Struthio camelus: one gene and its partners. The protein of the gene in region 1 purifies or fractionates together with the protein of each later gene. This does not show direct contact. Links are inferred from orthologs where the notes say so. Each region holds a gene or a part of one and is shown in the gene's direction. Other genes may lie near its edges.

Region 1 (7,388 bases):
ATGGCCACGGGGGTGAGATTTTGGAAGGAATGTGTTTTATGAATTTGTCAGATCACTCAGAATCTATTCACGACAGTATAGTGAGATTGAAGGAGAGCATAGCGAAGTTGAGGTTAGATGACAATGATTGGCTGGGACGAGTATTCTCAGGATGGGGGATCACAGGGTGGTTATTAACTATTGTGAAGAGTGGCTTGATTGTATTGTTGATAATCTTAGTCTGTTTGTGCCTGTTTCCCTGTCTTCTACAATGCGTGCAACGAATGATAGATCGCGCCTTCAATCAACAAGCGTATGCAGTTTTGTTAAAACAAAAAGGGGGAGATGTCGGGGGCGATGTGTACCAGAAGACGATTAGGAGCAGCAACAAAGCATTCCCTCAGTGCCAGAAGCCCTGGGAAAGTGTGCATAATATGAAGACTTGTGTCAGTGCCAAGACGGGCAGGTGCCCGTGAGCTATCAGAATGCAGATATTGAAACTAGGACAAGGACGTGAGAGAGGGAAGATAATCTTAATGCAGAACGTGGCTTGTAGTAACGTAGCAAAGCAACTTTAGTCAGTAAACACAGCCGTATTCTTACACAATAAGGGTCCGGTATATAAGAGAGGACGAAATATGAAATAAATAATCTTGCTTCACCATACGCAAGGTTTGTGCCTTCAGTCCCTGCACTGAAGTATTGCAGGAGAGAAGAAAAGGACCTGCCAAAGGAATCTGAGAAGTGAAGAGAAACCACTCACTCGATATGGCTATGTAGCCTTTGCCACAGTAAATACGTTTATTTGGTTAGATGTGTCTAAATGGTTTTGTTATACGTTCAGTGTGGTGCGAATATGCAGCACCTGCTGTTAACAGTGGTTTGCACAGGTAAGCAAGCTTTTGAATAGCGTGTGCTACTGAGCTGGCAGTTTAAACTGACAGATACCAGAACATGCTAGGTTTCAGCTGGCCAAATCCCTAATGGATTCCTGTGTATTTTCTTCCTTTTCATCCCGCCCTCTTACAAAGACTGGAGAGAATGGTAAAGAGGTGCTCTAATCTAATAATAACAGTTCTAAACTTTTCCATTTCTCAATGACAATGAGTAATAATAATACTTAGATTTCGTTAAAACTGTCTCAGGACAGGGATATGAGCTAGTTGTATCGAACTGTCCATTCATCTGCATTGCAACCATTTGCACCAGCCAGGCACAAAGTTCCTGATTCACAGAAGTGCTGAGAACCTGCTGCTCCAGTTGAAGTGGCTGGGAGAGGCAGGCTGTCATCACGTCTGGCAGTCAGATCACGTGTGATTCCGTCTAAGGCTCTCAAATCAGCAGCCTTTTTGCATTAAGTTGGCTGAGATTGGGGAGACTCTGTACAGAATGATACATTACAGCACTGTGCTGGACCCTAATCCTGCATGAAGTCCTAGCTTCTCCTACACAAACGCAGACCGCTTCATAACAGGAATTTTACTGAGATGGAGCTCTATACATGCCATGTTCAATGATCTTATTTCAAAAGAAGTTCTTCAGCTTCCATAAGTTCCTGTGCCCAGGCTGAGGGTTTGTACGTATCCATCCCTGGGCAAAATGGATCAAATCCTACCTACTTTCCACTGAGGTAAGGTTTCCTAGTTTTCAATGAACAAATGTTGGCACTGATGCAAGCAAGGTTCATACTGCAGTGGGGGAGGTAGAAATATCAGCCTGGAAAACATTCAGTGTTTGTTTTTAAATCCCAGGAGAAACATATGAACGTGATGTATCTGGGATTTAGAACAAACAGAGCAGCATATTAGCAACCACACAGAAACAGCTACATGTCAGGGATCAGTTGCTCTTTAAAAGTATAAAAGATGCAGCAGGTCTCTTTCACGATTTCTTGTTCCTACTGTTTCTTCAACAGTGTGTAACACACAGTCTGTCCGTCCTGCGCTTTCCGTTTGCTGTACGAGTGGCCCAAGCAAATAAAAACCCTAACTGAGACTGCTAATTGTGCCAAAGCCTAAATATGGGCTAATGCAGCTTGTAAGCTTAGTGCCTTATTACTTACCGTCACAAACGTAAGCATGTGCTTGTTTGTAGCAGACAAGTCTAAAAAGCAGATCCAGCATGTGCTGAAGTTAGTGGGAGCTTTTCCACAAATATTAACATCATTTGGATGAGATCTGCAGGACTGGATTGATTCTGCTCTCAGTGGAACCTGTGACAAAATTTATTACATTAGCAACAGCAGGACCCTTGGCCCCAGCTTAGTTCCTGACACCCTTAAAGCCACCTGAAGGGATCTCAGCGGCACTGACAGCAGTCACTCTCGTATGCTCTGAGCCATTTACGGAAAGACTTTTCTTTCCCTTTCACCATTATGGGAAGCTGCTCCCTTCCAAAAACTCTCAGACAGGTGTCTTTTCCAGTGTACTTGGCAGGTCACCACGTTCAGGCTATTTTGAACCAAATGGAATGAAAGATTTTGCAAGAGAGCAGCCTGCCAAGCCCCACTCTTTTACAGAGAGGGAATTTGGACAGATAGCACATCCTGCTGATCACAGCTGCGGCAGCACAGCCTGATCAGAGCAAGAAGGATCCTCATGGATGACTCATAACCAACAAGTTAAGCTTCATCCCAAGACAATGGGCTGTCCTTTGGATCTCTGAGTATTCACTCATGTTATTCAGTCCTGATGAAATGCCCTTGCTCGCTGCATTTCCTTTCTCTGCATGAGCCATGCTGTCAAAAATCCAGTCCAGCATGTGTGCAAATACTTAGCCAAACTCTGCTTAAAATCATTCAAATGTGTTAATAACAAAAACAGGATTCAGAAGCCAAGGGGTTGTTTAGAATAATTGTTACTATGTTACTGGGGTTATCATTTTTGAGTTCCAGAGATATATTATTCACTATAGATAAGGATATAGATATAAATATATATATGCACATATGTATAAAATAATAGGCAAGGGCTTCCAAAGCAGGCAGTGGCACAATACAGACAAACTTTAACCAGCATGAAAGAAACAAAACACTCTATTCCTATCACAAGAAAGCTGAACAAATAAATAGCATTATCATGCTGATTTGTGTACTCTCCTGTGCCTTCTCCCTCACCCCCCCCCCCCATTTTTTTTTTTCAAACAACAAAACTTCGGGCCAAATCCATCTGGAAGAAGGACTGACTGAAACTCAGCTTGATTCATTTCCTAATACGGTTCTGGGGACAGCACAGCTCTTACATCTCTGTGTTCTCCTCCCTGCGTTTGGATGGCAGGGTTAATTCTCCAGACTTCCGCTTGGGTTTCCAGGCTGAAGGAGATGGGCCTTGGCTTCGCTGCACCGCAGCTTTTTTCAGCTTTTTCCTTTCTCAACTGCCACTAGAATTTTTGGAGCCCAAAGATCTTCCTGTGTTAAAGGGCCAGTAAGTGACACGTGTCTCTTGCTTTTTTTTCCTCTTAACTAAAAGCAGACCGTACTGCGTCCTGTGCAGCCTAGAGCTGTGGTTCAGGAGGAAAAAAAAAAAAAAAGAAAACATTACTCTCCAGAAAAGTGGTTAAACAGGCGCTTAACTTTAAGTAGGTTGTTTGGCCGTAATGAATCAGTTATATGCTTTTCTGAGTCTGGGCCCTTGTACACCGAGGACTGGCTTAGATGTACTCATACCCAGTCAAATATTGTGGTATTGAATGGCTCACACATCACCTTTACGCATTACATGCGTTAGTGTCGAGCCTGATGGATCAGCATCCAGCCTTTTCATTACCAGTTCTTATCCGCAGCACTGCAGCATATTTTCAGCAGTGCTGTTTTGCATATTATGACCCCCAAAACATCCAGCCCTGCTGTGGCCGGGCTGAATTACTTTTTTTTTTTTTTTTTTTGTCATTCAGCACAGGCCGAGGCAGAGGGCTCCGTCCCCGACCGCCAGCCCCTAGAGCGCTCCCTGTTACGAGGGGAAGCCGCCCAGGGCCGAGCGCGAGGTGATGGGGGGGGGTACGTCCCGTTAACCTGGGCCAGCACGGGGTGGATTATCAGCACCCCTCCCGCCACCCCTTCCCTCTCCGCTGAGCCCAGCAGCACCGCCGGTTCCCGGCCGACACCGCCAGGCAGGCCCCTGCGCGCCTCGCAGGCCTCGGCCGCCCTGCGCCCTCGAGGCCGGCTGCCCGCCTGGCCGCCCCGGAGCTGCGGCTGCAGCTTGCAGGCCTCTTCCTCGGCGGAGGGAGGGCAGGGCACATCCTTCCTTCTCTCTAGCCGCTGCTGTTCAACCCTAGAGAGAAAAAGGCGAGTGGAAGGCGCGGCAAGGGGGAAAGGGAGAAGTGAAGCAGGCGCCTGCGCCTTTAAGGCGTTGCCAGCTCCCCCCCCCCCCCCCAAACCTCCCCGCTTGCTGCTTTTTGACTCTTCGGCCTTGCCGTAGCGCTCCCGGGAGAGAGCGGCATTGTGCAGCCTTTGGCCCGGACCGCGCATGCGCCATCCCACATTCCCCCGCCTGGCGGCTCCGGAGCTGCCGCCGCCGCCGCGTCCCCCCCTCCCCTCCCGCGGCCGCGCTGCCCCCCCCCGCCCCGCCGCGGAGGAGGCGGCGGCGCCGCCATCTCCCCCGCCCCTTCCCCCTCCCCCGGTAAGTCACTGAGAGGCAGCAGCAGCAGCGGCGGCGGGGCGGGATGGGATGGGATGGGGTGGGGTGGAATGGGGGGGCCGGAGCGGAGCTCCCCCCTCCCCCCCCTCCACACACACACCCTCCCTCCCACCCTCACGCGCGCGCGGCGCTGCCGCCGCCGCCGCCTCCCCTCAGGCAGCGCGCGGCGCCCCCTCCCCCCCCTTCCCTTTCCCGCCCGTCGCGGGGGGCGGCGGGAGCGGCGCGGGGCGGGCGCGGCGGCGGCGGCTCTGCGACCTCCTTCCCCCCCCCGCACCGCGGAGCTGGCGGCGCCGCCGCCAAAGTTTGGGCTCCCGGCGGAGAACTTCCCCCGGCGCGGGCGGGCAGGGGCGTCTGCCGGCGGCCGTGGCGCGGGCGGGCGGGCGGGTGTCGGTGCCGCGTGCGCGGCGGCGGCTGGCGGGGGCCGGGCTGCGCGGGGCGATGCCGTCGCGGCCCCCCGGCAGCCGGCGGCGCCTTGGCAGGGCGGGTGCGCGCTCGCGGGAGCTGCCGGATTAGTTCCAGATGAAAAAGATCTGACCTGGGTTAGGAAAGTTTTCATTTCTTATTCTTGCCGTCTGTCCGCGCCGCGGAGAGGGCTTGTAAGAGCCGGCAGGCAACCGGTAGCGCTTAGCTCTGTGCCCTCCCGAGGACGAGGTGCTTATCATGCCGCTGGTCGCTGGAAGAGCAAATGCTGTTGCGCCCAAATCTGCTGCCACCAGCAGAAAAGAGCGGTAGCAGTAGCGGGATGTTGCAAACGTACTTTAAAGACAAATCCTTGGCGTGTGAGCTGGAGGTGAGTCTGTTACTAAGCTGAAATCTGGCGGAGCTGCAGCGGAGATCGTTCCCTCTGCAGTATCAGCGCCGATTACAGAATACCAGCACAGCGCTTTACCAGGTTTTGTTACAGAAAGCAAGTCTGTTGCGACTAATACAAGGCTGGCTCTTAGTCAGGTGAAAGACTCAGGAAAAGAAGAGCGTGATTTGGTGCTCTGACCGTTTAGGGGAGAAACATGAGACTGGAATACTTGAATTACAAGATGAAAGGAACCTAGCAAGATTTTAAGCTTTGGAGATGCCTGTTACTTTCTTCTTTGTATTATGATTTTGTGTTCTGTGTCTTGATACATCTGAAAAAAGGCCTCGGACGGATCTTTCCACCTTCTGCGCAAACCATTGTCTATGGTTTTAAACTATGCTATTAAAGTACTTCTCATAGGCATATTGGGGAGTATTATAGGAAAAACCTTGCCACACCTAAAAGCTATTCTGCTTTATTTCTAATTAACAGGGCAGTGTAAAACAGCTTTCCAAGAAGTGATTAAAGGCCACAGATTGGGTTCTTGATCTTGCACTTTAATAGATCTGACCGCATGAAATAAATGTTGCTATGTTGGTGATGTGATGTTTCCTTAAGTCTGCTTGCAGGATTCAGTTCTCTGGATAAAAGATCCATAGTGCGTGTTTTTCTTGTTTTGTTTTGTCTTTTAACACTGGTTTCTGGGGACCTGCAGTTATGCTCATCTCATTCTTCTAGTTGCTGACAATCTTTCTTTGACAGCTAATGATACTTTGTTTTTCTTCCAGGTTTTCATTTCCAGTGTGATTTCTCCTCTCTGTGGCAAAGGCTGTCTTTTGAAGCAGCACATTCATTCTCCCCTTCAAGCACCATAAGTCTCATTTGCCAGCTTCAGAACCATGGCAACAGAAGAAAAGAAGCCAGATGCAGAATCCACCAAAACACAATCTACTCCTTCCTCCTCAACCAATCAGAGCAAGGTGTGTGTGGGCCTCTGAACAATATCTTTGTAAATACGCATGGAAACTGTCTACATATTCAAAAGGCAAACTAGAATTAGAGATTTTTAAGAAATTGAATTCTGATAGGAATTAAGAACTTGGGATTTCTGCTACTGCTGTTGAACTGAAAATGTGCTAACGATTTTATGGGAAAGCAGATGAAGTACAACCTCTTTTGTGCTAGGGTATCTTTGTTTCTTCAAGTTCATGCAGAGGAAATACTTTTTGTCCCTTTCAGCATTAGAAATCTAAGGTGTTGGAAGGCCTAGACGTTACTGGAGAATAGGTGAATTTACCGTCTTAGTTGCAGGGTGGAGAAGCAGTCATTGTTTGAGGCCTGTGGATGTTGAAGGGAGTTGTCACTGTTTAACCGCAAAAACTGTGCAAATGGTGAGAAGGGAGAATGTTTGGGGTTTTGGGAATGTGGAAGAATTGGTTTGTGATATGATTCACAAAAAGTTAAAGGACTACAAATATTTAATAGCACTAAGTGTTTTATTTTAATCTGTCAGGCGGTCTGTGATTGGACTGTTGGATTACTCTCGCCTATTTATTATTGGTTTGGATGTAATTCATACCAAAGATGAGTTTGTTGTTGTGCATGTGCAGTGAGGCACTGCTTGCTCCAGGCATCAAGATTTTTGTCTGAATTTGGAGAGGGGAAAATGTAAACAGTAGAATCTATTATGGTGACTATTCATGCAGTCTGATACTGTGTAGTGACCTGGTCTAATACAGAACTTGTCATTGAGATATTCAGTTTGGTATTTATACGACTCATTCATGTATGTATGTGTGTGTCTGTGTGTGTGTGTGTATATATATATATATATATATATATATATATATATATTTTTTTTTTTTTTTACAGCCTGCACCAGTAAAACCAAACTATGCTCTAAAGTTCACGTTAGCAGGACATACAAAGGCAGTCTCGTCAGTAAAATTTAGTCCTAATGGAGAGTGGCTAGCCAGCTCTTG
Region 2 (7,658 bases), on another chromosome or scaffold:
CTGCTCCCCGGCGCCGCGGCAGAGGGGAGGCTGCAGCTGCCGGGCTCCGCGCCGCCCCGGCCGCAGGGCTCCCTGCCTTCGCTCCCACGGGGGCCGCAGCCCCCGAAGGCCCCCTGCGGATGCCCAGCAGGAGCCAGGCTGGGGTGGCTTTGCTACCCTAGCTTGGCTCCCCTACTTGTCCCTGCTGGGAGCTTGCATCTTTGGTGAGTTAAAAGCCCAGTGCCAGCAGCAGCTTCTCCTCTTGCTGGCTAAAAGCCACATGTAAAATCTCTGCCTGCTGGCTCAAAATGCAGCTGGGGGTGAGCCCTAGCTGGCCTTCGTGGTCCCCAGTGTCTCTGGGACGGCGGGGCTTTAGCCAGTCCTTGCAGTCTCCATCATCTCTGGGATGACGGGACATAGCCGCCCTTTGCGATTCCCAGCATCTCTCGCTCGAGCGGTTTCGGGCTCGAAACCCGAATCCCCGAGCTGGGATGCTCCAGCTGGACAGGCAGGCGCCCACCCGTGATTACCGCCTGGGAGCCCCGTGCTGGCGCCCGGCCCCTCCCGGCCCTGCCCCGCCGCGGGGGTCCCTCTGCCCCCGTCACGCGCCGCCCCCTCTCTCCGCAGGCTTCTACAACGGCCACACCAAGGTGGCCGTCAAAAGCCTGAAGCAGGGCAGCATGTCGCCCAGCGCCTTCCTGGCGGAGGCCAACCTCATGAAGAACCTGCAGCACTCGCGGCTGGTGCGGCTCTACGCGGTGGTGACGAAGGAGCCCATCTACATCATCACCGAGTACATGGAGAAAGGTGGGGGGGGGGTGCAGGAGCCGCCGGCTGCTGCCCGGCACGGTGCTGTGCAAACGGGTGAGGCGGGGGCGCCGGGGGTGTCTGCGCCGTGCCGAGCCCCGTGGCCAGCGAGGAAGCGTGCCGTGGCGGTTCGCTCGGGCTCTGGCCGCCGCGTCCCCCGGGGCCGGCGGGATGGGGTGCGTCCCTGCCCGCTCCCCGCAGGGACGGGGCGGTGGGCACGCGCCGGGAGGTGGCCAGGGTTTGGGAGGTGCCGGGGCGCTTCCCTGTCCCATCCCTGTCCCCAGCGAGCGCAGAGCGGGAAGCCCCAGCCCGGCTCCCCGCTCGCGCCTGCCCGCGGTGGCTGCTGCGGCCGGGGCCGCCTTTCGCCTCCTCGCGCTGATAAAAGCCCGGCCAACGGAGCACGGCCCTCCGGCCCGCCGGGAGCGGATCCGGCGCCGGCGTTATTCCTGGCAGCGGGCAGGACCTTGCGGACGCGGCGCTCTCCCGTCCCCGCCGCTCCCCGCCTGCCTTTCCGGGCGCTGCGAGCTTCCCAGCAGTGGTGCGGCCGAGGCCAGGGCCCGAGGGCAAGGACAGGCTCCTCGCCGGGTCCAGGGCGTCCTCCGGGAGCTGGCAGTCCTCCCGGAGGAAACGCGCCGGATCTGCCGTGCGCGGCTGTGACAAAGGGTCTCGAGCCGGAGGCTGCCAGCCCGGGGCCATCCGGCCCGTCCCCAGCCCTGCATCGCAGCAAGGACCCCCGGGCTGCGGGACGGCCGCAGCTCCTCGCTCCCCGGGCACGGGGCGTTCCCAGCGCCAGGCTCCGCGGCGGCGGGGGACCACGCCGCACGGCGCGGGGACGGCGCGGCTGCTGGCACCTTCACCCCGGCGCGCAGCCCCAGCGGCTGCCGGCGAGGCTGCCGCTGAGACCTGCCGGCTTCGTTGCAGGCAGCCTGGTGGATTTCCTCAAGACCTCGGAAGGAGTCAAGCTGACCATCAACAAACTGCTGGACATGGCCGCGCAGGTGAGGGGGGGACGGCGCCGCCGGGGCTGGGCTGGGAGCTGCCCCGCTCCGGCTGCCGACCTGAACCCCTCGCGATTGCTGCGCACCGCAGATCGCCGAAGGCATGGCCTTCATCGAGGCCAAGAACTACATCCACCGCGACCTGCGGGCCGCCAACATCCTCGTCTCGGAGACCCTGTGCTGCAAAATCGCCGACTTCGGGCTGGCCCGCCTCATCGAGGACAACGAGTACACGGCTCGCGAGGGTGCGTCGGCCGCGGCAGAGCCCCCGGGCCGCGGCGGCGGCGGCACCCGCCTGCCGCCCAGCCCCGCTTTCGGCGGGATCGCAGCCCTATCTGGCGGCGAGCGCGGGAACGGGCCGGGGGCCGTCACCCCTGGCTGCGCAGGGGGGCTGTTCCCAGCTCAGCCGTAACGTTTTCTCCTCCCCTCTCTGTCTCAGGGGCTAAATTCCCCATTAAGTGGACGGCGCCGGAGGCTATTAATTACGGGACGTTCACTATTAAGTCGGACGTCTGGTCCTTCGGCATCCTGCTGACGGAGATCATCACCTACGGCCGGATCCCGTATCCAGGTCAGGATTTCCCGGCAGCTGCGGCACTCCGCAGCGGGGCTGGGGCTGGGGCGCACGCGCGCGCCCGGCGTGTACATGCACTGCCGCACGCACGCACGCTCGCTCCCGCGCCGCCCCGTCTGGCTCGCTCCCCTTCCCCTCGCCAGCCCGCGACGGTTTTGACCTCTTTCCAACGCACGTTGCCAGCCCCAAAGACATCGGGGGGTTCAGACACGGTTTTGGGGGGGGGGGGGAGGAAGCTTTCCCTGGGATTTGCAAATATAAGGTGCCGCCTGGGACGTGCTGGGGCGACCCAAATCCAGTGGCACACGCGCTGCCCTCCCAGGGATGACGAACCCGGAGGTGATACAGAACCTGGAGCGCGGCTACCGCATGCCGCAGCCGGACAACTGCCCGCAGGAGCTGTACGAACTGATGAGGCAGTGCTGGAAGGAGCGGCCCGAGGACCGGCCCACCTTCGAGTACATGAAGAGCGTGCTGGAGGACTTCTTCACGGCCACCGAGGGCCAGTACCAGCAGCAGCCGTGAGGGACCCGCGCAGCGGCCTCCGCGGGTGCTCCCCGTCCGCTGGGTCCCCACGCATCACCCCGGGCATTTGCAAACACGGGCCGGACCTCACCGCTCTCGCAGGCAACAGTAAAGACTTGATGCGTTTCTGGAGCAGCGGATTTTTTTCCCCCCAGAAGAAGAGGGACAAGCTGACACACGACTCCTCCAGGCAGGCGGCAGAGGCGAGGACCGCCGGGCTGGGCGGCTCGAGCAGAGCGCGTGCGGGACTCCGGCCGCCGCGCACCCCCGTGCCCGCGACACGGTCCCCGCACTCGCCCCGGTGCCGATGCAACCTCCACCCGGCACCGCGCGGCTCCTCCCGAGGCTGCCTGCGAGCCGAGCTGCCCCCGGCCCGGGCAGGCGCGGAAAATACGCTGTGCACTTTCACATCCACCGCCCCGGACCTCGCCTCCGCGTTTACCCCAAGGCTGAAGGCAGGTCCCCATTGCAGCTGCAGGAGCCGCCGTGCGGGCGGCTGTCCCGGAGAGCCCCGTAGCCGTCCCGGCCCCACGCCGGAGCCCTCCGGGCAGTGCTTGTGCGCAGCGGCGGCGGTCGGCAGCATACCCGCGCCGAAGGGGTTCGCACGGCTCTGCCAGGCATTTGGGGACACGGCACCCCTGCCCTCCCCGCGGCCCCTCCAAGCAGCCGGGCTCCCTGGGGCGATGCCGCAGAGGTGAAACCTCGTCTGCCGGAGCCGGGGTCCCTCCAAGCCTTTCTGCTGCATGGCTGCGCCCTGGCAGGCACCCTGCATGCACCCGGTCCCCAACTCCTCTGGATTTGGTCTAGCAGGAGGAGGGAGCAGTGGACGGAGCAGAGAGCAGGGATCCAGACCCCGGAGGGCCGGAGAGGGGCAGGGGGAGCTGCACGGAGGCGAGGGCCGGAGCCGGGAAGGTTTCCCGGTTCCTGCAGCCCCGGGGACTCCGCGTGCTTCCATCGAAGGCACTTCCAGCAGAAACTCTCCCCGTTTAGGAAAGGGCCATCCGGACGGACCAGACGCTGGCTGTAGGATCCCCTTTCTCCCCACGTTTTTAATCGCAAGACTAAAAATCCTACTGCTGTCTTATTTTGGGGAAATAAAGGCCTTTGAACCACAGCTGGCTCCTGCCCCTGGAGGCAGCTGCGGGGAGAGGGAGGCCAGCGGAGGATGGCCGGGGGGGAGGTGGGCGCAGGGGACCCTCGGGGACCGGCACCTCGCGCTGCTTGTCTCACCCCCAGCCCTGGGGTGCTGGGGGGGGACGTGAGGCCCTACTTGTGCCATCCCTATCCCCTTTGGCCTCCTCACACCCCCCTCAGCCCCCTTTGGCCCTCTCTGGCCCCTTCATGTCCTCCCAGCCCTCTTTGGCCCCCTTTGGCTCCCTCATGCCCCCCACCAGCCCCCTTTGGCCCTCTCTGGCCCCCTCACTCCCGCCCCAGGCAGGCCCTGCCTGAGGCCTGGCCCCCGACGCCCCCCCCCTCCGCCCTAGGAATGGTCCAGTCCCACCTGGCGCTCCCCCTCCTCGCGAATGGTTCCGCCCCACCCACCTGGATCCCCCTCCCCGTTAGCCTGACGACGATCTCCCCCCCACTCTCCGGTGATGGTACAGTCCTATCCCGTCCCCCCCCACTCGGCCTCGCCTCCGCCGGCAATGGTACGATCCAAGCACCCTGGCGCTCGACCTAGCCTGCTAGCTCCCCCGCGCCCGCTCTCACTCGCCGCCGGGACTTTCTATTGGTCGGCTGGAGATAGGGGGCAGGAAGCCCCTCCCCGATTGGCGGGCTGCCCAGCGGGGGCGGGGGCACGGGGAGGCGGTGGGGCGACTGGCCCCGGGGCGGGTTCGGTTGCGCGGCGGTAGGGTCTGTCGCTGTCGGGAGGCAGGAAAATGGCGCTCACGCAGGGGACCAAGCGGAAAGTCTGTTATTACTACGACGGTGAGGGGCTGCGGGGCGCCTCCGGGGGCCGCTGCGGGGCAGCGCCGCGCCGGGGGGGGGCGGCGGCGGGCGGAAGCCTGACGGGCCGTCGGGGGGGGGGGAGGGGAGGTGGCGCGGGGGAGGGGGTAATGGGGTACTGGGGACTTGGGGGGCTGAATTGGGGAGAATGGGGGACCTGGGGGCTGCAGTGGGGGATGGGCAATGGAGGCCGTGGGGGCCTGGGGGCTGCAGTGGGGGATGGGTAATGGGAGCTGTGGGGGGCCGTGGGGGGCTGGGAGTTGCAGTGGGGGATGGGTAATGGGGGCTGTGGGGGCCTGGGGGCTGCAGTGGGGGATGGGTAATGGGGGCTGTGGGGGGCCGTGGGGGGCTGGGAGTTGCAGTGGGGGATGGGTAATGGGGGCTGTGGGGGGCCGTGGGGGGCTGGGAGCTGCAGTGGGGGATGGGCAATGGGGGCTGTGGGGGGTCGTAGGGGCCTGGGGGCTGCAGTGGGGGATGGGTAATGGGGGCTGTGGGGGGCCGTGGGGGGCTGGGAGTTGCAGTGGGGGATGGGTAATGGGGGCCCTGGGGGAGGTGGGGCATAGGGGACTGCAGTGGGGGATGAGTAATGGGGCCCCTGGGGGCCGTGGGGGGCTGGGAGCTGCAGTGGGGGATGGGTAATGGGGGCTGTGGGGGGCCGTGGGGGGCTGGGAGCTGCAGTGGGGGATGGGCAATGGGGGCTGTGGGGGGTCGTAGGGGCCTGGGGGCTGCAGTGGGGGATGGGTAATGGGGCCCCTGGGGGCCGTGGGGGGCTGGGAGCTGCAGTGGGGGATGGGCAATGGGGGCTGTGGGGGGTCGTAGGGGCCTGGGGGCTGCAGTGGGGGATGGGTAATGGGGGCTGTGGGGGGCCGTGGGGGGCTGGGAGTTGCAGTGGGGGATGGGTAATGGGGGCCCTGGGGGAGGTGGGGCATAGGGGACTGCAGTGGGGGATGAGTAATGGGGCCCCTGGGGGCCGTGGGGGGCTGGGAGCTGCAGTGGGGGATGGGTAATGGGGGCCCTGGGGGAGGTGGGGCATAGGAGACTGCAGTGGGGGATGGGTAATGGTAGCCCTGGGGGCTGCAGTGGGGAATAGAGAGATGGGTAATGGAGGCATGAGGGTTGTGGAGAATGGGTAGTGGGGACATGGGGGGCTGGGAGTTGTACTAGGGGGATGGATAATGGGGGGACTTAGGGAGCTGGAGGCTGCACTGGGGCGTGGGTGGGGTGGTGGGGGACACTGAGAGACATATAAGGGATGGGGACTTCACTAGGGGATGGGGCGCAGGGGTTAAGGCATGGATCGGGGTAGGATGTATGGGGAACTGCAGTGAGGGGAGGCGCAGGGGAGAGTGGAAGGCAGGAGAAGGGTTGGGGAAGACTGAGGGTCACAGGAAGGATGTGGAAAGCGTGGCAGGGGTGTAGGGAGTGCTGGGGAGCCTGCAAGGGATGTAGGGTGCATGGCAGGGGGGTAGGGAGCAGTAGGGAGCCTCCAAGGGAGTGGGGTTCATGAGAGGGATATGGGGAAACACTGGAGGGTGGAAGGGAAGGATATGGGGCAAGGGAAAGATAGGGAGCAGCACTGGTGGAAAGTTGGAGGAGGTTGGTGGAATAACTTGGGGAGGAATGGAAAACTTGGAGGTGGGGTGGAAATAGGAAAGGCTCTGAAGGGGCCAAGATGGGGGAGAAGGGCAAGGGGCTGAGAGAGGCTCTGGGAGCTATGCCAAGATACTGAGGAAGGTTTATGGGGGGATGGGGAGCACTCAGGGAGATGCTGGGGGGGGGAGGAAAGGGTTAAGAGCCTCCGTGAGCCATGGTAAGCAGAACAGACGCTCCTGAAGCTCCATTTGGATCACTATCAAGCAAGGGACAAAAATGAAGACATTGGCAACCAGACCAATTGCATGGCTATTTCTAGGGAGTTCCTGTGTCTAGGAGTATTGTTTAATTCTGGCTCTAAACTTGGCTGGATTGTAGACTGTGTTTTTGCTTTGCTTTGTTTTCCTTTTACAAGGATAGGGAAACACTGCTTTTTGGCTATATATTTGGGGTAGCAAAGTAATAGGGTATAAGAGCTGGCCAGATCTCAGCCAAGGTAACTTGTGTAGCTTCCTCACTCTTCCCCTATAGTCTGTGAAAGAAATCACAGTTGCGTTGTCTCTGTGCATGTTCACAGCTGCCTCTCCTTTAGCAGAGGGAGTCTGTGCACGTTCACAGCTGCCTTGTCTCTGTGCACGTTCGCAACTGCCCCCCCCCTTTGGAGGGGGGAACTGGTGTTTCGGTAGTGGGTGAGCTGAGTTTTACTGTAGTCTGTGATCACTCTATGTGAAAGGTATTGTGCAAGTCTCCTCTATTTCATCATGGTTTTTAGTCTCTGAAGTCAAATAAAAACTACTTCTCCATGGTTTTTTTCTGTGGTAAGTGGATGTGCTCAGTGTTCGTTAAGGCCATAAAGTGAGCTCGCTTAAACTGCTTTATATGTCGGGCATATAGCGAGGGCATTTGCTTTTTCAGAAAAGCAAATCTGAGTGATAGATTTTTAACCTGTAATGATAGCTGCACCAGGTCTCTGACTCAGCCAGAGTCTCCAGGGGAGTGTGACGAGGAAGAGTCTGAATTAGGACTCTCGGTGCAGTGAAACAGTGAGCCTGATTTTTCTGGACCGTCCTTTTCATTCCCAGTGCTGCGTACAACTGATCTCTATGCAATACCCAGCAGATCAAAATACAGTGGGGTACTGGTGCCGCGGGCCCTAAAATGCCGACTTTAAACTTGAAGAATAGTTGCAGGAAGTATCAGAATACTGTACATGCGCAAGTGGCCAGGGCGTTGAA
Region 3 (7,013 bases), on another chromosome or scaffold:
GGAAAGCAACCCCAAAGCCCTGTTAGGTCACACGCTTTCTGGAACTCCGCTAAGGTCTGCTGAACACCTAACGGAAAGTTCTTTTTTTTTTTTTTTATTAATTGTCTTTTGTGCCATAAAGAGATTGTTAGCACTACTGGACAAAGGGCTAGGTCAATACCACAAGAAGTCAATACTACTTTTACTTATATTTATGTATATGTGATTACAAGTTTGTGGCTGTGAATGTTGCTAAGAGGTAACACCTGAAGAGACTTATTTTCCACTGATAAAAGGGGGGAAAGGGAGCAGGAGTGGTTTGTGTGATAAAAAGTTTTTGTTCCTTAATGTAGCTAATTGTACAAGGGATGATTTTATGTGGAGGTTAACCAAGGAAAAGGTTTTGTACGTAGTACCTTTAGGTTAAATTAGTTTCATTTTTCAGTGTGAACAGCCTGGTTTGAGGTGGGTTAAGAGGTGGTTGTTTGTTTTTCTGCTTGATACCATGAGGGCTCTCTAATTTTTGGGTTAGTAATTTTTCTTGCTATTGGAAGGAAAGAAATTTTATACTGATAATTTTTTTGTTTGTTTGTTTAACTTGATTATTGAGCTAATTATTGAGTTCTGCTGAAGTGAACTGAAGTAGTTGTATATAGATTAGCGTCTGTGTGTGGGATTTTGCAGTTTAGGCAGTAAGATAGTTAATAGCTAGCTTTCTAGCTGTATGCTTCTGCTTCTAGAGTACATGAGGGGAGGGAAAGAAGGTGATCTGGTCGTGATGTCTGTGGTATATGACCTATGCTATTTCTTTCACTGTTCCTCCTTTCCTAACTCTCTCCTCCCTAGCAGCTGCTAAAGGTGCTCTATTTATGCCTATGTTCTAAAATACCTTAGTCTTCTTGGCTATTACTATAGCGCACCTGTGGATTTGAGAATGCTGTCCTGACTGCTTTTTGATGATGGAAAAACAAAAGTTTAAATTTCCACCTTTTGTGACTCTCTCCTTCCCTGTTTACATAAGCATTCACTGAGCTTTCATAGTGGATGTGCTTTATGAGAAATATGTTTAAGTAGTTATACTTTATATTGTGAAAGCTGCTGCAAATGCTGAAGCTGAAAGCTATTATTTGATTTAAAACCTCCTAGCTCCTTTTTTCCATGTTGTTTACTATACGAGTACTGTGTGATGGAACAGCCTAAAGCTGGTATAGTAACAAAAAAATGGTGAAAGCTGAAAACTGTCTAACAGTAAAAACAACTAATTATAGATTGCATAAAAATATCTTCATTTTGTTGTAAATCCATGTCTATCCATAGTTAGATAGTCAAATAGAGTATTGATCTCTTTCACTAATGTTTTGCTATATACTTCTCTGCCTCAAAACCAGCGTGGGATTCTAGCAGCTGAAGTTCATGTGCACTTACTACGGGGAGTGATTACTCCTGAGTTTCTTCTGTGTCATTTACTTTTATGTAGCATGGTGGTCATGCTGTTTCCTTAGCAAATTATTTTGAATTTGCCTGGAGAACTTGCATTTCCAGAAGTGAGACTGGGCTAAATCATTATCCTTGTACACACACACTTGAAACTTAATATTTAAGCTTTTCTGACCTGTTGAATCTAACTGTGTCTCTAGTGTAAAACTGAGTTATTACAACTTAATTAACTAATTCTCATCTCAGGTTAAAGGGCAACTTTGTAAGCTTGTCTGCACTTGCCTCATTCACATGCGAGTTGTGTTTCTAGGAACTTTTCTAAATGAAATTATATATATCTTACTAACAAATTCAAACATTAGAAGAGTATATGTAGTCATTTTTACTATGAAAGCAAGTGGCTTCTTTTGACTTAGCTAATGTCACTGGTTTAAATTAAACCAAAATAAGCTGTTTCTGTATCAGGTTGAGCACCCACTCAACTGAAACTAATTTATGTAACATTAATTAAGAACCTTTTCTTTATACAAAGCCCCTAAGGAGCCCCTTTTACTTGCACAGTGCAAGCAACACATTCCTCATATTGAGCCAGGTGACATATGCTATTATATTCTTGAACACAAATGCTTCTCTGGCAACTACAAAACCAAGTAGTTGACTACTGGCATTCTGTATGCTTGTGGAAAGAGTATGTTAATAGTTAATATTAGGTAACCAAGAGTGCACGGAGCTTCTGCTGTCCGGTCTAATTCTGTTCAAACAGTGATTGTACTAAGCAGGCTAAGGCTAGAAGAAAATTACTGGTGAGTGAACAGTATCATGCCTTGTGGGTCCTAATGTCATGCAGGTATTTTGCTGTAGTCTGTAGCAAGAAGTCAGCTGCATGACAAACTATAAGAATTTTTTTTATGCTACTCCTAAGAGTAAAAAATTCCAAATAAAATATGGCAAATGCTTTCTACATATGCTACAACACTTGGCTACATAACTGAGTAGTCTCCTTCCCTTATAACGCTAAGGGAGGGGGGGAAAAAAACCAATAACCCATTTTTACTTCAGTGTGTCCTAAGTTTATCTTCAATGTGTGTTGTATGTGTACATGTAATTAGCATAAGTGTACTTTACAGCTGTCTCTATAGAGAACCAACTTATCACCCAAGAGGACCTAACTTTGTGCTAGATATCTCTAGGGGTGAAAATAACCTGATTCTGGAAGCAGAGATCTAACTTTGGTTTGGACATGTACTAGTTTTGGTAAGTGATACTGATAAAGGGCAGGTATTTACATAATCTGATATAAAGGTGCATATGAATCTGTGTTTACAGATACTCCTAGGATCTTTGATAAATCAAGAAACCTTGGTTAAGACTTCTAAAACTAATGCAAGTCCCTAAAGCTAGGATATGAGATTTTTCATATTGGCTGAATAATCTTCTGTAACTATGTTGATGACTGAATATACACCCTCAGGCTTTGATACACGGGACCTCAAACTCCAAGAGCTGTGAAGCCTTGAATTGTTGCCAATACAAAAATGCTGTAGTTATTGGCTAAGCCTAAATGTTACCAGCTTAATCATTTATTTCTTCCTCCTGGATGTGTAACCAAACCTCAAGGCAGAGAAAATTGCTGGTAGGTCTCAAATTGAAACTTGATCCGGATGTCAAGCCTCATATATAAAACCCCAAGTACTTTGATCTTGTAGCGTGCTTTCCTTCTGGAAAAAGGAATTGCTATGCACATTGTAAAGTATGCTTTGAACTCCTCCTAAAACAGGGACGCGTGTTTTACTGGGCAACAATAATGTCAATACGGTATGTGCCTCCAAGAGCGCTCTTAGTTGCAGCTAGACACAGACCTACCTGTTGTCCTGTGTGCTATGATTTGTGTGAAGGAAGGTGTGTGCTGAGCTATTTTAAAAGTGTAAAGAGGTGAGGTTTTTCAGTGCTTTCAGTATTTAAAATAAAAAAAAAAAAAAAAAACAGTATGTAACGCTAGGTCCGGAGAATCAGAACTGCTTTTGGTGGGAGAACAGACAAAGAGGGTAGGAAGTGAAAAGGGGGATGGGTGCGAGAAGCCCGAGAGGCCGAGTATTTGCACGCGGCCCGTACTCCCGCTCAGGGGAGAAGGGCCCTGAGGCAGGGGCCGGCAGCGCGCCCGTAACGGCCGGGGGGGGGGGAGGGGGGCCGCGCGCGCTCGGGGCAGGCCCGGGCGGGACCCTGCCCCACTGCCCCGGGTGGGGGGGGGGGTGGCCTGAGGGGAGTTGGAGTAACCTATTCCCGCGCTGAGGCGAGGAGCAGCCCGCTTTTTTTCGGGCACGGGCAGTGAGGTCTCCCGCCCCGACCCCGCTCCCGCGTCGCCATGCGATGCACAGCGCAGGCGGCGCTGAAGAGGGGGCGTCACCCCGCGCATGCGCCGTCTCCCTCCTTCGAGCCGGCGGACCGTACCACTGCACGGGGCTGGCGTAGGGGTGCGCATGCCAGGCGCCGCCTCGAACGTCTCGCTTGTGAGGGCTCACCGGTGCCTGCTACTGCGTTCCGGCCTACATGATTGAGTGACAGCCGTAGGGATGAGTAGAGGAGAGCCCACGCTCACTTGCGCCCGCCCTCTCCGCCTACCTTTCTCTTGCCCTCCCCCGGGGCCCGCGGATTGGGCGCGCCCGTGTTGCCGCGCCTCCCCACCCCTTGGTCGCGTCCGCTCGCGCTGCCTGTGCCCCGGCGTCGCGCGTTCCCGCTCTGTCGCGTCCGCCTCCGCCCGCCCCCTCCCTCCCTTCCCCGCCGGCTCGGCGCTTGCCTCGGCCTCCCGCGCCCTCCCCCTTCCCCCGGCTCAGCCCCGGCGCGGCGGCCCCATGGCGTACAGTCAGGGCGGCGGCAAGAAGAAAGTCTGCTACTACTATGACGGTGAGCGCGGGAGTGCGGGTGGGGGAAGCCCCTCTAACCGCCGCCGGGGGCGGCCTCCTCCCTCCTCCCCCCCCCCCCCCCCACCGCCCGGTCGAGGTGCCCCGTGGGCACCGCGGTGCGCAGCGCCGGCCGGTCCCCGCCGCCATCCACCTGCAGGGCCGGAGCGGCGCGGGGAAAGGCGACCTGGAGCCGCACAGGGTGCTGGTGGGGAGGCTGCCCGGCTTGCGGCGGAGCCGGGGGCCCGGCGGAGAATGCTGTGTTTATTGTTACCGCTTCCCTCCCCCCCCCCCCAAAAAAAAAAAAGAAAAAGAAAAAAAAGTTGATACACTCTCCTCCATCCGCTATCCGTGAAGACGTTGGAGTCGCTGCCGTGTCTGGCTCCTCCCCTGCCAAAAGTCTAGGCCATGTGTAGGTTCGGCACCTGGTGATCCTTGCAGCTGAGGCCTTTCGTCCAGTTTGTATAGAGGCTTTCTGTCTGTGGAGGGGACAGGCGTATTCTTCCCAACCCCCCTCCCCCCAGGACATGCATGAAGAGTGTAAATTTGGCTTTCATGAACCTCTGCTCTAGCAAAACACCGAAGTCGCATGTATGTTTAGTAATGGGGAAACTGGATTTTTTTGTAGGCCTTCTTAAGTTTGTGCACTCGCCTGGTGAGAATGTAGTGACTTGTGATTTGCCTTGTCAGTCACATCTAAGAAGTACATAAAGCTCACGCTTTAGTTTCTGGTATTTGCAGCAACTTGCTTGTGGTTCTTTCTGGCCACAACAGAGAAAACTTTTCTATTTTTTTTTTTTTCCAGGGCTTGGGTTTGGTTTTATTTTTGGTACTGGGAGGGTAAACTGGTCAGATTAGTTACCAATTTCATTTTTAAGATTTCCTCCTGTCATGGGAATCCCTTAAGTTGTGTGTGCAGTAGTCAGGAAACAGAGGTTGAGGCTGCTTTGCTTGTGATGTGTTTTCATCGTTTGGGAAACGGAGAAGAATGGCTAAACCAAGCAAGATATCAAAGGTGTCTGTTGCTGTAGCAAATCTGCCGCTGTTCAGAAATGGCAGATCTTGTGGGGCCTGTCTAGTTTTTTTTTTCTTCTTTTTCTTTTTTTTAACTACACTAAAGGAGGCAGAGTGGTTGTTGCCGCCCCCTTCTCTTTGTTGCTAGCTCTCGTTCTTTGTTCAGCCTAAAGGGGAAAGGAGGCCCCAGTTAGGGAGAATTTTGGTGAAGCTGGGATCTTACTTGTGCCAGGGAAGAGGGCTTGCTTTTTTGCATTATTGAAAGAAAGATTACATTGATAGTTTGCAAGCTTTCTCCCTGCAAATGATTGCATGTTTGTTTTTTATCAATATACATTTTTTTTAATGTCAGGTAATTGTAGTTCACTAGATAGCTGTATCTCCAGTTTTGCGGTGATGCCTTGATTTTGATACTCGGCGCTAGTGTCAACCTCTGTTAACTGAGACCCTAAACAGCCATAAAACTACACTAGTGAAGAGGCAAGAGAAAGTGGGGAAGGGAGAAGTTTTGAGGTGGCAGGACAATGGTGACTTCTAAGTAGTTGTAATTAATACCTTGCGAGTTGTAATTAATACCTTGCAGTAGACTACAATAAAAGCAGTCACTAATAAGCTAGGGAAAGGAATATCTGTAGTAAGAATGATTTAGAAAATGCTTGCTCTGTAACAGAGAAATTAACAGCATTGGAATGTTTATAATGCCTTTTTTATTTCCTGACAAAGCCAATAGTTGTATTTCTTTCTACAGTGTTCACTTGGAGATAGTTATTAGAAAGAAGTTTAGACCTAATACCTCTGGTAAATGTTTCTACTGCTAATTTGTGGCTCATGTGATAATCTTGAGTACTTTCTGTTGTGTTCTACCAGCAAAGTCTTGAATCAAAGTGCGGGGAGTGTTTAAAGCCTTAAATAACCCAAAAACAAATGTACAATTTGTATCTTTGTACTTTTAGATCATGGTGGTGTATGTCTAAGAATGTCATAATTGAAATAAATGACCATTTTCTTTTTTGTCATAGCTGTCCCTTGGTGCAGACTTTCACCCTGTTTCTTCAAAAGGATTCAGCAAGAAGTATTGAAAAGTACTGAAAGTATATATATGTTTAATGTGAGAGGCAATAAATTGCCTTATGTGCTTTTTGTGGTAACTCAGAGTGGTTGTCATCTAAAGTTAGTTGTTCAAATTGGCTAATCACTTATCAGGTCTTCTCCGTGTGTACTGCAGTTAACATTTGCTGATTATTAACAGTTTTCATAGCCTTTGCTTTGTACTCAGAACCAATAAACTTACGGTAGAAGGAACTTGATTTCCCTTTCTTTAGTTTGTAATAGATTGGTCACCCACATCCACTTTGCAGAATTTCTGTTGTTGGTGATCGCTTTCCAGTAAGGGATTTTATTTAAACTTGAGCCAATATACAATGAGAAGAACTAAAGACATGCACGTTAAGATATTTTAGTTCTCTCATTTAAGAGCTTTTGAATAAATGTTTCTGATCATCTTTATATGTATGGTCATCTCTTAGGGATGTGTGTTGCTCCCACTGCAAAGAACTGTGCTAGATGTGAAAGGATATTGAAGCTTTTATTTTAGCCTCTTACCATGTGTCTTCAGTTTGTTCCTATGGTCTCCCAGTATGTGATTCAGGTAGTTCTGTGGACCCTTCCAAAAGAGGCATCTGTTGT
Region 4 (7,811 bases), on another chromosome or scaffold:
CAACCCCACGGTGGTCACGTCAACCCCACGGTGGTCACGTCAACCCCGCAGCAGTTGCACCAACCCCAAGGTCATGCCAACCCCACGGTGGTCACACCAACCCCAGGGTCATGTCAACCCCATGGTGCTCACGCCAACCCCGCAGTGGTCACGCCAACCCCGCAGTGGTCACCCCAACCCCAGGGTCGGGCCAACCCCACGGCTCGTGTCCATCCCATGGTTTTCATGTCAAGTCCTGGTCATACCAACCCCAAGGTCATGCCAACTCCACAGCGGTTGCGCCAACCCCACATTCGCGCCCACCCCATGTCAGCCACGCCAACCCCGTGGTGGTCACGTCAACCCCATGGTGGCCATGCCAACCCCACGGCAGTTGTGCCAACCCCACAGCGGTCACGTCAACCCCATGGTGGTCACGCCAACCCCACGGTGGTCACGTCAACCCCAGGGTGCTCGCGCCAACCCCATGCTCACGCCAACCGCGTGGCTCACACCAACCTCACGGTGGTCACGCAACCCCAGGGCTCGCGTCAACCCCATGGGGGTCACGCCAACCCCAGGCTCCTCATGTCAACCTCACGGTGTTCGTGCCAACCCCATAGCACCCACGCCAATGTCAGTCCCGTCAACCCCAGGGTCATACCAACCCCATACCTTGGGTCAACCTCATAGCTCATGTCAACCCCACAGTGCTCACGCCAACCCCAGAGTCACGCCAACCCCACGGCTCGCGCCAACCCCACGGCGGTCGCGCCAACCCCACGGCGGTCGCGCCAACCCCACGGCGGTCGCGCCAATCCCAGAGTCACGTCAACCCCACAGTGGTCACGCCAACCTCGTGGTCACACCAACCCCATGGCTCACGCCAACCCCATGGTGGTCACGCCAACCCCATGGTGTTCACGCCAACCCCGTGGTGGTCACGCCAACCTCGTGGTGGTCACGCCAACCCCGGGGTGCTCCTGCCCACCCCAAGGTCACGCCAACCCCCGGTGCTGCCGCCCCCCTGTCCCGGCGCGAGGAGGGGCCCCGGCGTCCGGGCGGGCCCCACTCACCCTTATTGGCCACCTCCCAGGCCACCTCGAAGAGGACGACGTTGTCGAGGCTCTCGCCGGTGGCCCAGTCCTCCAGCCCCGGCAGGGAGCTCACCGAGACGCTGCGGGCCAGCGGCATGGCCTGCGCCCCAAAACGGCCGAAACGGCCCCAAAACGTCACCGGGGTGGGGGCAAAACCAGCACCCCCCTTGCCAGGGGCACGGGGGCACCCCAAAACGGGCAGAACAGCCCCAAAATGTCCCGGAGGGAGGCGGAAAGGGGGGAACTGTCCCCTAAATGTCACCAGGCAGCCCCAAAGCAGGGAAATTACCCCCAAAATGGCACCGAGGGGGCTGAAAATGCGGGAAATGGCCCCAAAATGGCGCCGGACACCCCAAAAGCAGGGAAATTACCCCCAAAATGGCACTGAGGGGGCTGAAAATGGGGGGAATGGCCCCAAAATGGCACCGGACACCCCAAAAACAGGGAAGTTACCCCCAAAATGGCACGGAGGGGGCTGAAAATGCGGGAAATGGCCCCAAAATGGCGCCAGACACCCCCAAAACAGGGAAGTTACCCCCAAAATAGCATTGAAGTGCCCAAAAACAAGGGAAACACCCCCCCAATATGTCACTGAGGGGCCTGAAAGTGGAACAAACGCCCCCAAAACGTCGCTGGGAGGACGAAAATAAGAGAAACGTCCCCAAAACGGCACTGGGGGGGGCTGAAAATAGGGGAAGTGCCCCCAAAGTGTCACCCGGGACCCCAAAAGCAGGGAAATTACCCCCAAAATGGCACCGGGGTGCCCTGAAATAGGGGAAATGCCCCCAAAGTGTCACCGGTGGGGGGCCAAAAATGGGGGAAATGGCCCCAAAATGGCACTGGGGGGCTGAGAATAGGAGAAACGCCCCCAAAACGTCCCCAGTGGGGAGCAAAAATGGGGAGAAACAGCCCAAAAATGCCATCAGGGGCTTCAAATGGGGTAAAAACCCCAAAAACGTTACCAAAAAGGAGCAATAATAATAGGGAAATGCCCCAAAATGACCCTGGGGGAGACTGAAAAGGGGGGAAATGTCCCCAAAACGTCACCGGGGTGCCCCAAAAACGGGGGAATCGGCCCCAAACCGTCCCGGGGGTGCCCCGAAATGCCCCCGCCCCCGATTGGGGGCACGGCGGCACTCTGAAAGCAGGGGAAACCCCCCAAATTGTCACGGGGGGGCACAAAAAATGGGGAAACCGCCCCAAAACCACCACGGGGGGGGCACCCCGAAACGGGAGCATCTCCCCCCCGCCCCCAGGGGTCCCGGGGGCAGCTGGAAACGAGGGAAATCCCCCCAAAACGGGGTCACGTGGGGACATCCTGAAACTGTACCCCCCACCCATGGAGCCCCCCACCCATAGGCCCCCCCCAACACCTGGGGACCCTCCCCCACCTTAGGACCCCCCCCAAGTGCCCCCATAGGGGTCCCCCCCGGGCACAGCCCCCCCTCAGAGATCTCCCCCACCCATAGGGACCCCCCCAGCCCCCCCCACCCATGGGGGGCCCCTCCCAGGGCCAGGACCCCCCCCCAATTGTCCCCTCAGGGCCCCCCGCACATATAGTTCCCCCCAAAACTAGTGGGCCCCCCCAGGCCCCCTATAGGGCCCCCCAATCCATAGAGCCCCCCCCATTGCTCCCTCATGTCCCCCCCACTCATAGGCCCCCCCCAGACCCCCTATAGGGTCTCCACAACCCTTGGCCCCCCCCATTGCCCCCCTCAGGGGCCCTATAGGCCCCCCAACCATATCCCCCCCCCATTTCCCTTCTCAGGCTCCTCCCAGGGCCCCCCCCACCCCCCCATAGAGCCCCCCCATAGAGCCCCCCCATTTCCCCTCTCAAGCCCCCCCCAGCCCCCTATAGGGCCCCCCCAACCCATGGGCCTCCCCCATTGCCCCCTATAGGGCCCCCCACCCATAGCCCCCCCAGGCCCCCTATAGGGCCCCCTCCACCCATGGGCCCCCCCATAGCCCCTATAGGCCCCCCCACCCATAGCCCCTCCAGCCCCCTATAGGCCCCCCCAACCCATGATGGGCCCCCCCAGTGACCCCCTATAGGCCCTTCCACCCATAGCCCCCCCCCAGCCGCCCTATAGAGCCCCCCAACACCCCCATAGCCCCCCCCAGCCGCCCTATAGAGCCCCCCCAACCCATGGACCCCCCCATTGCCCCCTATAGGCCCCCCCCACCATAACCCCCCCCGCAGGCCCCCTATAGAGCCCCCCCCCACGGCCCCCCCCCAGATCCCGGAACCGCCCCCCAGTCGCCCCCCCCATCGAGTCCCCCCTCCAGCCCCCCCCACCCCCGGGGTCCCCCCCCACCCCTGCGACCCCCCCGGCCCCCCCCTTCCCCGCCCCATGGAAGACTCCAGGGGTTCCCCCCCCCCCAAAAAGTGACTTTTTTTGGGGGGGGGGGCCGGCCCTGGGGGGGGTTAATGGGGCCCTGGGGGGGGCTCAGTGGGACCCCCCCCTCCACCTGGACTTTTGGGGGGGGTCCCGGTTGGGGGGGGCCCCCCTCTCTCTCCCCCTCCCCCCTCCGTCCCGCTCACCTCCTTCGCGCTCCCGCAGCTCAGCGAGGAATGACCCCTCCCGCCCGCCGTCGCCGCGAGGCCCCGCCCCTCCCTCCCTCCGGCCCGGCCCTCCCCGACGCTGATTGGCTGCGCCGGCGGGTGATGGACAGGCGGCGGGTTTTTTTTCCCCCCCCCCACGTGCGGGAAGGAGGGGGGGCGCGCCTTAAAGGGGAAACGGCGGCGGGGCGGGTCGAGGTGGGGCCCACCGCGGGGCGGGCGGTGGGGCAGGTTGGGGGGGGGGGCAGGCTGAGTTGTGGGGTAGGCCACGGGGCAGGTTGGGGGGCGGGCGGTGGGGCAGGCTGGGCTATGGGGCAGGCGGGGCTACGAGGTAGGTCATGGGGCAGGTCATGAAGCAGGTCAGGTTATGAGAGAGGTTAGGGGGCAGGTTATGGGGCAGGCTGGGCTATGGGGTGGGCTATGGGGCAGGTCATGGGGCAAGTTATGGGACAGGCTGGGCTGTGGGGTGGGCTATGGGGCAGTTTATGGGGCAGGGCAGGTCATGGGGCAGGTTATGGGGCAGGCTGGGTTATAGGGCAGGCTATGGGGCAGGTTAGGCTGTGGGGCAGGTTATGGGGCAGGCTATGGGTCAGGTTGGGCTATGGGACAGGTCATGGGGCAGGCCAGGTTATGGGGCAGGTTATGGGGCAGGCTATGGGGCACGCTATGGGGCAGGTCGGGTTATGGGACAGGCTATGGGGCAGGCTAGGCTATGGGGTAGCTTATAGGGCAGGTTATGGGTCAGGCTGTGCTGTGGGGCAGGTCATGGGGCAGGTTATGGGGCAGGCCGGGTTATAGGGCAGGCTATGGGGCAGGTTAGGCTGTGGGGCAGGTTATGGGGTAGGTCGGGTTATGGGGCAGGCTATGGGGCAGGCTGGGCTATGGGGTAGCTTATAGGGCAGGTTATGGGGCGGGTTATGGGTCAGGCTGTGCTGTGGGGCAGGTCATGGGGCAGGTTATGGGGCAGGCCGGATTATGGAGTGGGCTATGGGGCAGGCTGAGCTATGGGGTAGGTTATAGCACAGGCTATGGGGCGGGTTATGGGGCAGGTTGGGCTATGGGGCGGGTTATGGGGCAGGCTACGGGGCAGCCCATGGGGCAGCCCCCCCGGCGGGGCTGGAGGACCGCGCACCATCGAGCGGCGCGGCCGGAGCGGTCCCTTTCCCCACTTCCCCTTCCCCCCCCGCGCGTCACTTCCGCCGGGCGAACGCGAGGCGAGCGCGAGCGCGGGAGCGGGAGCGGGCGGCGCCATGGCAACGGCGGTGCGGCCCGGCCCGGCCCGGGGGGCTGAGGGGGGCCCGGGGGGGGGGAGGAATGAGGGGATGGGGGGGTCTGGGGGGCTCGGGGGGGCAGGAGGAGATGGGGGGCCTGGGGGGGCTGGAGGAGATGGGGGGTCCAGGGGGGTCTGGGGGGCTCGGGGGGGGGGCAGGAGGAGATGGGGGGCCTGGGGGGCTGGAGGAGATGGGGGGTCCAGGGGGGTCTGGGGGGCTCGGGGGGGGGCAGGAGGAGATGGGGGGTCCAGGGGGGTCTGGGGGGGCTCAGAGGGGTCTGAGGGGTCCAGGGGGGCAGGAGGGGATGGGGGGTCCAGGGGGGTCTGGGGGGGCTCAGAGGGATCTGAGGGGTCCAGGGGGGCAGGAGGGGATGGGGGGTCCAGGGGGGTCTGGGGGGCTCGGGGGGGGCAGGAGGAGATGGGGGGTCCAGGGGGGTCTGGGGGGCTCGGGGGGGGCAGGAGGAGATGGGGGGTCCAGGGGGGTCTGGGGGGCTCAGAGGGGTCTGAGGGGTCCAGGGGGACAGGAGGGGATGGGGGGCCCGGGGGGGGTCTGGAGGAGATGGGGGGTCTGGGGGGCTCAGGGGGTTCTGGGGGGCAGGAGGGGATGGGGGGGTCTGGGGGGGCTCAGAGGGGTCTGGGGGGCTCGGGGGGGCAGGAAGAGATGGGGGCTCTGGGGGGCCTGGGGGGGCTGGAGGAGATGGGGGGTCCAGGGGGGTCTGGGGGGCTCAGGGGGTTCTGAGGGGGCAGGAGGGGATGGGGGTCTGGAGGAGATAGGGGGTCTGGGGGGGTCTGGGGAGGCAGGAGGGGATGGGGGGCTGGAAGAAATGGAGGGGTCTGGGGGGGCTCAGGGGGGTCTGAGGGGGGCAGGAGGGGAGGGGGGATCTGGGGGGCTCGGGGGGGGCTGAGGGGATACGAGGGACCATGGAGGGGGGCAGCAAGGGATTGGGGGGGGTCTGGGGGCAGATCCGGGGGGGGAGATCTGGGGTTGGGGGGGGTTCTGACCCCCCCCGACCCCCCCAGACGACGAAGGTGCCCGAGGTGCGGGATGTGACGCGGATCGAGCGCATCGGTGAGCGCCGGGGGGGGGGGCAAATCCCCGGGGAGGGGGCAAATCCCCACGTGGCGGGGGCAAAAGCCCCCCCGGGGGGGTCAAAACGCTGCTATGGGGGGGGGGAAACCCGAGCCTTGAAGACGGGTAAATACCCCTATGGGGGGGGGATCTCCCTGGGAGGGGCAGAAATCACAGCGTGGGGGGAAATCCCTACTGTGAGGGGGAGCAAATCCTTGGGGGGGGGGCAGACCCCCACCCGGGGGGAGGGGTCCGGGCCTCCCCCAAATCCCCACCCCCCCACCCCACAGGCGCCCACTCCCACATCCGCGGCCTGGGCCTGGACGACGCGCTGGAGCCCCGGCAGGTACCGGGGGAGGGGTCTGGGGGGGGTGTCCAGGGATTTGGGGTGTTGGGGGGGGCTCTAGGGGTTTGGGGGGGGCTCGGGGGAGCCTTGGGTGGGTTTTGGGGGTCCCTGGGGGTCTTAGAGGTGCCGGGGCGGGGCTCTGGGGGTCTTAGGGGGGGCAGGAGGATCCTGGGGTGGTTTGGGGAGGCTTTTGGGGGGGGGCCTGGACTGGTTTTGGGGGGTCTCCGGCGGTCGTGGGTGGGCCCTGAGGGTCCTGGGGGGCCCTGGGATGGTTTGGGGGGGTCTTAGAGGGAGCCAGGTGTGGTTTTAGGGGGTCCCTGGGGGTTTTGGGGGGGGCTCAGGGGGGTCCTGGACACTTCTAGGGGGTCCCTGGATGCTTTGGAGGGGGGTTGGGGGGGTCCTGGGGTGCTTTTGGGGGGGTCCCTGGGTGCCTTGGGGGGTGGGGGGGGTCCTGAGGTGCTTTTGGGGGGGTCCCTGGGTGCCTTGGGGGGGTCCTGGGGTGCTTTTGGGGGCTCCCTGGGGGTCTGGGGGGAGCCTGGGGTGGGTTTGGGGAGGTTTTAGAGCAACTTGGGGGTGCAGGGGGGCATTTTAGGGGGCCCTGGGGTGGATGTGGGGGGTCCTGGGGGGATTTTGGGGGTCCCCACCCCCCCCAGCTCTCACAGGCCACGATGGGGCAGCGGGCGGCGTGCCGCGGGGGGTGGTTTTGGGGTGTTTTGGGGGTCAGAGAGGTTCTGGGGGGGTCCCGGGTGGATTTGGGGGGGGGTTTTGGGGGGTGGTCGGCGCTCCCACGACCCTCCACCCCCCCGGACCCCCCCCCAAAGGTGTCACAGGGCATGGTGGGGCAGCTGGCGGCGCGCCGGGGGGTGGTTTTGGGGTGTTTTGGGGGTCAGGGAGGTTCTGGGGGGGTCCCGGGTGGATTTGGGGGGGGTTTTGGGGGGTGGTCGGCGCTCCCACGACCCCCCACCCCCCCGGACCCCCCCCCAAAGGTGTCGCAGGGCATGGTGGGGCAGCTGGCGGCGCGCCGGGCGGCCGGCGTCATCCTGGAGATGATCAAGGAGGGGAAGATCGCGGGCCGAGCCGTGCTCATCGCCGGGCAGCCCGGCACCGGCAAGACCGCCATCGCCATGGGTAGGGCCCGCACACGCGTGTGCGCCGCGCCGACACGCGTGTGCCCCGCGCCGGCACGCCTGCGCGCTGTCCGGAGGCGCCCGAGCGCCCCGCCGTGCCCTACGGGGCCGCACACGCGCGCGTCGGCCCCTTCACGCGCGTGTCGGCCCTTGCACACGCATGTGCGCCGCGCTGACACGCGTGCCCGCCCCCTTGCCCGCACGGCGCAGGCGCTGGGCCCCGCCGCTGGCTGTCCCCGTGGGGGCGCCGCGTGCTCGCCCACGCGTGTCGGCCCCCCCCGCGGGTGTTTTCGTCCCCCCCGCACACGCGTGTGCGCGGCGCTGACACGCGTGTCTCAACCCCCCCACGCAGGCGCTCGGCCC

The links.
Region 2: the proteins of WDR5 (region 1) and HDAC1 purify together in Homo sapiens (affinity purification with mass spectrometry; 8 studies listed by BioGRID and IntAct, counting the BioPlex papers as one, with this or other methods). This does not show direct contact. The link is inferred for Struthio camelus from reciprocal best matches to the Homo sapiens genes WDR5 and HDAC1.
Region 3: the proteins of WDR5 (region 1) and HDAC2 purify together in Homo sapiens (affinity purification with mass spectrometry; 7 studies listed by BioGRID and IntAct, with this or other methods). This does not show direct contact. The link is inferred for Struthio camelus from reciprocal best matches to the Homo sapiens genes WDR5 and HDAC2.
Region 4: the proteins of WDR5 (region 1) and RUVBL2 purify together in Homo sapiens (affinity purification with mass spectrometry; 3 studies listed by BioGRID and IntAct, with this or other methods). This does not show direct contact. The link is inferred for Struthio camelus from reciprocal best matches to the Homo sapiens genes WDR5 and RUVBL2.

The regions. Positions count from the first base shown.
Region 1 is NC_090961.1:4,664,578-4,671,965, reverse strand, and holds the start of WDR5 (WD repeat-containing protein 5), read left to right. Parts: upstream 1-4,376; 5' UTR 4,377-4,595; intron 4,596-5,016; exon of another isoform or gene 5,017-5,403; intron 5,404-6,194; 5' UTR 6,195-6,305; coding exon 6,306-6,386; intron 6,387-7,278; coding exon 7,279-7,387; intron 7,388-7,388.
Region 2 is NC_090964.1:8,597,546-8,605,203, forward strand, and holds the start of HDAC1 (histone deacetylase 1), read left to right. Parts: upstream 1-4,658; 5' UTR 4,659-4,763; coding exon 4,764-4,812; intron 4,813-7,658. Other genes in the region: tyrosine-protein kinase Lck, read left to right, coding at 607-786, 1,708-1,784, 1,876-2,029, 2,224-2,355, 2,681-2,883. UniProt on the Homo sapiens protein: Histone deacetylase that catalyzes the deacetylation of lysine residues on the N-terminal part of the core histones (H2A, H2B, H3 and H4).
Region 3 is NC_090944.1:63,043,007-63,050,019, reverse strand, and holds the start of HDAC2 (histone deacetylase 2), read left to right. Parts: upstream 1-3,997; 5' UTR 3,998-4,265; coding exon 4,266-4,317; intron 4,318-7,013. UniProt on the Homo sapiens protein: Histone deacetylase that catalyzes the deacetylation of lysine residues on the N-terminal part of the core histones (H2A, H2B, H3 and H4).
Region 4 is NW_027182627.1:50,395-58,205, reverse strand, and holds the start of RUVBL2 (ruvB-like 2), read left to right. Parts: upstream 1-4,798; 5' UTR 4,799-4,886; coding exon 4,887-4,898; intron 4,899-5,926; coding exon 5,927-5,975; intron 5,976-6,265; coding exon 6,266-6,321; intron 6,322-7,307; coding exon 7,308-7,449; intron 7,450-7,811. UniProt on the Homo sapiens protein: Possesses single-stranded DNA-stimulated ATPase and ATP-dependent DNA helicase (5' to 3') activity; hexamerization is thought to be critical for ATP hydrolysis and adjacent subunits in the ring-like structure contribute to the ATPase activity.